Regions from separate parts of the Mus musculus genome. Here region 2 is reported to be linked to region 1. The links are microRNA targets in miRTarBase. Many come from high-throughput screens and were not tested one by one. Region 1 holds a microRNA gene; the other region holds the end of a gene's coding sequence.

What was found. Region 1 holds the annotated microRNA mmu-miR-466a-3p (UAUACAUACACGCACACAUAAGA, at 1,601-1,623, opposite strand). A microRNA usually pairs through its seed, bases 2 to 8, with sites in the 3' UTR of a target mRNA and lowers its output. Matches are read on the target gene's strand: a 7mer-m8 pairs with bases 2 to 8, a 7mer-A1 pairs with bases 2 to 7 and ends in A, and an 8mer does both.
Region 2: the mRNA of Tigd5 is a reported target of mmu-miR-466a-3p. Seed matches in the 3' UTR shown: 7mer-m8 at 2,829-2,835, 7mer-m8 at 2,837-2,843, 7mer-m8 at 2,841-2,847 and 8mer at 2,845-2,852.

The regions. Positions count from the first base shown.
Region 1 is chr2:10,482,500-10,485,641 of GRCm38, reverse strand. Mir466c-2 (microRNA 466c-2) reads right to left here and starts at 1,676; the gene lies at 1,587-1,676. All of the region lies in intron 10 of Sfmbt2 (Scm-like with four mbt domains 2), which reads right to left. Mir467a-3 (microRNA 467a-3) reads right to left here and starts at 1,964; the gene lies at 1,882-1,964. Mir669a-6 (microRNA 669a-6) reads right to left here and starts at 1,446; the gene lies at 1,360-1,446.
Region 2 is chr15:75,911,101-75,914,242 of GRCm38, forward strand. It overlaps Tigd5 (tigger transposable element derived 5), which reads left to right. Exons shown (of 1, transcript NM_178646.4): 1 at 1-3,142. The coding sequence ends at 619. Among named protein-coding and RNA genes, the nearest start is that of Tigd5, 2.9 kb to the left of the region's middle.

The sequences.
Region 1 (3,142 bases):
CATGTGTGTTTGTGTGCACATGAATGTGTCCCTAGTTGTGTGGGTGTATATATATATATATATATATATATATATATATATATATATATATATATGCATGTTCATATACGCGCATGTACAGGCATACTTCCCTATACACATAAACACAAACACAGGGAAAATCACATGAATTCCGGGCTGATCTCTAACTCATCATAAAGTTAAACATGAATTTGAACTGCTCATCCTCATGATGCTGGCAAGAGTATTCACCTCCTAACTGAGTCATAGCACGGGCCATTCGTGGGAGTATGTTTGCATGTGAGTATATGCATATTCATATACAGAAGTGAATATGTACACAACTATACACACATGCACATTCTTGGTGGGCATCACATGAATCGCATGCTGAACTCTAACTCATCATGAAGTTAAACATGAATTTGAACTCCTCATCCTCCTGACACTGGCAAGAGTGCTCACCTCCTAACTGAGACATAGCTCTGGCCATTCCTATGAATGTGTGTGCATGTGTGTATATGCATATTCATATAGAGAAGTGAATATGCACACAACTATACACACATGTACATTTTGGTGGGCATAATATGAATCCCATGCTGATCATGAACTCATCATGAAATTCAGCACGAACTTGAACTCCTGATCCACCTGACTCTGTCAAGGGATTTCACCTACTGAGTGAGACCTCTCCCCATTCAGTACTGAAAAATCTTAAAACTCTAAGTCACATGTCATTCAAATGGATCGATGAGTTGCACTGATGTTTTTGTGTGTGTTTCTGTTTGTGTCTGTGTACATGTACATATTTGTGTAGATAGGTACATCCATATACTCAAATCCACACACAATAGAAACAGATACAGATAGGGATACATAGGGGACATCACATGAATCCCAGGCATATCTCTAAGTCATCATGAAGTAAAGCATGAATTAGAACTCCTGATCCACAATCTTTCACACCTGATGAGTAAAACCTTTCACTGTCCCACTACTTCATAATCTTGAAAACTTTGAGTCACATGTCATTCAAACGTATAAATGAATGCAATTTTTTCCTGTGTGTGTGTGCTTGCATAAACACGTGTGTTTATGTTATGTATATCATGTCAACACATACAATGCACATACAAGTAAGCACACATGCACATACATGGGTTGCATGACATTAATACCAAGATGATCTCCAAATGAAGTTAAGCTTGAATTTGCAATCCTTATCCTCCTGACTTTGTCAATCTTTTACACCTGGTGAGTGAGTCCATTCAATGTCCCCTATTGCATAATCTCTAAAACTCTACATCACTTATCATTCAAAGGGATTGGCGAATGCCATTCCTGTGTCTGTGTATGTGTGCTTGCGTTTATACGTGTGTGTGTATGTTATGTATATTCAAATATAGACATGAACATGCACACACAACTATACACACATGCACATACATGGAGGAATCACAGGCTGATCTCTCATGAGGATAAGTGTAAATTTGAACTCCTGATACTCTTAACTCTAGCAAGCATTTTCACTCTAAGTCACTTATCATTCAAATGGATTGACGAGTGCCATTCCCCTGTGTCTGTGTGCTCATATGTGTCTTATGTGTGCGTGTATGTATATGTATATCATATTCACATATGTACATGCACACACACATCAACACATATACACATACGTAGGGGCAATCACATGAATGCCAGGATGACCTCTAACTCATCATGCCTTTACTATGAACTTGCACTCCTGATCTTCCCGACTCTACCAAGGGTTTTCCCGTGGTTTGTGAGACCTCACCCTGGCCCAGTCATACATAACCTCCAAAGCAGTAGGTCACATATCATTCAAATGGATCCGTGAAGGCCATTTCCGCATGTCTGTGTGCATGTGTGTGTAGGTGTGTGTATGTATATGCATAAAATATACACGCATATACATGCAGGCACTTACGCACACGGGCACATACATAGGGGCCATCACATTATTCCAGGATGATCTCTAACTGCTCATGAAGTTAAGCATGAAATTGAACTCCTGATCCTCCTGACACTGCCAATTATTTACACCTGGTGAGTGAGACCTTCACTGTCCCTCTACTTTATAATCAGCAAAATTCTAAGACATATATCATTCAAATGGATCAATGAGTGTCATTCTTATGTGTGTGAGTGTGCACGCCTGTGTGTGTGAATACATTTGTATGTGTGTGTATTTATATGTATGATCATATACACACATGTACGTGCACACACAATTATATGCACTTGTGCATACCTAGGATCCATCACACAAATACAGGGTGATCTCTAACTCATTATGAAGTTAAGCATGAATTTGAACTCCTGAGACTCCTAACTCTGGCAAGTGGTTTTCATCTGATAAGTGAGATTATTCCCTATACCATGAATATACACTCAATGAAATTATAAGCACGTATAAATCAAATGGATGACTGCCATGTGTGTTTGTGTGCACATGTATGTGTCCCTAGTTGTGTGGGTGTGTATACATATATATATATATATATATATATGCATGTTCATATACGCGCATGTACAGGCATACTTCCCTATACACATAAACACAAACACAGGGAAAATCACATGAATTCCGGGCTGATCTCTAACTCATCATAAAGTTAAACATGAATTTGAACTACTCATCCTCATGATGCTGGCAAGAGTATTCACCTCCTAACTGTGTCATAGCTCAGGCCATTCGAGGGAGTATGTTTGCATGTGAGTATATGCATATTCATATACAGAAGTGAATATGTACACAACTATACACACATGCACATTCTGGTGGGCATCACATGAATCGCATACTGAACTCTAACTCATCATGAAGTTAAACATAAATTTGAATTCCTCATCCTCCTGACACTGGCAAGAGTACTCACCTCCTAACTGAGACATAGCTCTGGCCATTCCTATGAATGTGTGTGCATGTGTGTATATGCATATTCATATAGAGAAGTGAATATGCACACAACTATACACACATGCAAATTTTTGGTGGGCATAAGATGAATCCCATGCTGGTCATGAACTCATCATGAAATTCAGCACAAATTTGAACTCCTGATCAACCTGACTCTGTGAAGGGACTTCACCTGCTGAGTGAGACCTCTCCCCATTC
Region 2 (3,142 bases), not on the chromosome of region 1:
GTACAAACGCGAGCTCCTGCGGCTTGCTGTGTCTTGTGCCAGTGGCTCCCCTCTGGACTTCATGAGAAGCTTCGTTCTCAAGGACATGCTGTACCTGGCTGGCCTCTCTTGGGACTTGGTCCAGGCAGGCAGCATAGAGCGCTGCTGGCTGCTGGGTCTGCGAGCAGCCTTTGAGCCTGGGCAGCAGCCAGCTCACCAGGTAGAGGAGACTGCCGAACACAGCAGGGTGCTCAGTGACCTCACACATCTGGCAGCTCTGGCTTACAAGCGCCTGGCACCTGAAGAGGTGGCCCAGTGGCTACACCTGGATGATGATGGAGGCCTTCCGGAAGGCTGCAGAGAAGAGGTGGCCCCCGCTGCTCCTCCATCCCCAGCTAGCCTGCCCTCTAGCATCGGGGCTGGAGAGGAGGAGGAGGAGGCCACCGAACAAGGAGGAGTGTTGGTACCTACTGCTGGGGAAGCTGTCTGGGGACTAGAGACAGCTCTGAGGTGGCTAGAGAGCCAGGATCCCAGAGAAGTGGGGCCGCTGAGGCTTGTGCAGCTACGTTCTCTCATTACCATGGCACGGAGGCTTGGGGGTATTGGGCCCTCAGCTGTAACTTCTGATGATGGTGTGTGACTACCTTGGCCCAGTGGTCTTTTTCCTGCCTCACTGGGAGAGAGGGGGCACATACAGTCTGCCATCTTCCACCTTTTCTCCCCGGTAGTCCACTGTATGGGTCCGGGGATGCAAGCCCAGCCCAGTTTGGAGGAGTTCTATAAGTAAAGGATGTACTGCCCCAATCCACAGGGTCTGGGGAAGTGGCTATGTTCTTCCCTGGGTAGGCACATGTGGGCACATAAGCACAGCCCCTACTGGAGAACAGTTGACTGTACTTCCACTCTGGCCCCTATGGGGCTCACACACACACACACACACCTACCTGCCTCCGAGTGCACTGCCTGAGGCTGCTGCTGTTTCATCTGCTTCCCTGGTGCTACCTGGTCTCATCTCAGTGGGGAAGCATTTGGTTCTTGGTTTTGTTTTAAAAACATTAAACCTGTTTGGAAAGATGCTCTTCCTGGGGAACCCATGAGTGCTGACTGACAGGGTGAGGTGGTCTCTGGGGCTCTCTTGCCCTTGCTCTGATAACTCAGGTCCTTATGGTGCTGGATCAAAGCCCAGGCTAGGCTCCATCCAGTCCCTGGTGAGCCCGGTGCCTGGTGAGGTTTTGGATGCAGCAGAGAGTATAGCAAATTCTGTTCTACTTGGATTTTTAGTCCCTCCCACTCCCCAGCCCCCTTTAAGTACTCCATTCTGGATAGGTCTTCTATTCATGAGGTTAGCAAGTGTTTGGATCAATGGGCAGGACAAACCACAAAGCACTTTGTTTAGCTCCAGGGCAGTCTGATCTACCTGGAAACATGCCCTAGCCTTTGCAACCATCTGGGAACTCTGCAGTGCCTTAGAGTCAACCTCTAGCCCCATGGGCTCTTCCTGCACCAGCCTTCTCCAGGAACTATGGCTGGATAGCCCAGGTTGAAGGAGAAAAGGCTCAAAGGAATGTCCACATTTTGTATCTGCTGCTCTGCCCAGCTGTGGATTCAGATGACTGCTGGCCGTCTGGAGCTAAGGCACCTGCGTCTTAAGGAGGGGCACTGTGTCTTTGCAGGAATTCCATCCAGAGCCTTTGTCCCGGTCCTCCTTGTCTTTATGTCTCCTACTCTGAGCCTTGCAAACATGAAGTGGAGAAGGGATGTAACAGCTTGGCAATGGGCAAAGCCTTGAGTGACGTATCCAAAAGTGATTTCCACCTAGGCCCAAGAATATAGTTCCTTGGAGCCACGACTACATCCCAGTCAAAAATCTGCATAAATATCAAAAGCTGAGGGAAAGCATAGAGCAACAGAACTGGAGCTCAGGTAGCAGGCTCCATCTATGCACACTAAGGACCATCTGACCACCTAAGTACCCAGCCTCCCCAAAGATGACCTAGAAAACCTTGGGCAATCGTGGCTGGTGGGGGTCTCCAGCACTAGCTACTTGGCTGGGTTTTCAAAAGTCTAATGTGTTTATACCAGCAGCCTCCATATCAGCCAGATACCCAGGTTAGGAACTACCATCCAGCTTTGACAGACCTGCTTTCAAATCTGCAGAGAGCCAGATCTGGGCCTTGGAGGTACACTCAAGGCTGGGTAGCTTCTAGTAGCTGCTCTTCAGCCTAGGTTACATGTACTGTTCTTTTGAAGAGGTTCCGATCTGGCCTGGGCTCAGGTAGACTGGAGTTGGCAGAGACTAGGGCTCAGGAGTAAGACCCCTCTCACCAGCCTCTCTAAAAGCCCCTTTTACTTGGGCCCAGGAGGTTATGACCTCATATTGCTGCTGCCTTATAAACAAGCAAGTACGGCCTGGCTGAGTGACAGGGTTCCTGTCAGGTTTGTGTTCGTGTACTACCATTAACGGGGCTAGGGAGATGCCCATGAGGCTCAAAGGTGTCATCTCAGGCTAGGGATGTAGTGCAGTGGTAGGATGTCTGCCTAGGATGCCAAAGGCCCTAGGTTCAAACAACTGCACTGTAAAAAGAAGAGAAAAGTACACTTAGAAACATTCTGGTGTTCTTTACATGCTCTAGGCGGGGGTTCAGATAGCTGCGTCCTGGTTGTGGAGGAGGCTACTTTGCCCAGGTTGTCCAGCAGGGAGTCCTATAGCTCTGAGGCTTACAGTGCCGAACAGCCCAGTGCACAGAGGCCTCAGCCCCCATGGCAGTTCACCTTTCTGTACTCAGTATCTGATGGAGCTTCACAGGGCTCATGGCCCCCCCAGGAGAGAACCTTACACTCTCACTGTATATGTATTTATGTATGTATGTATATATATATATATATATATATATATATATATATATACACTCACCCATTGGTGGTGTACCGCGCTCCCTGTGGGCAGGCACTGAGCTGCATGAACTAATGAGGTTGAAACTGTAGTTCCCTTCTTCAGCAGCCATTGCCACCTGCTGTGTACCAGGCCTCACTCAGGAATCCCAGTTCACTTGCCCCCAGAGCTCGGCCTGTTCCCCAAAGTGTGGTGATCCTTTGGCTTGGGAAGTACAGGCAGCCTTTTCTGCTAGGTTCTACCTTGGATTCATAAACAGACTGTCTGGAG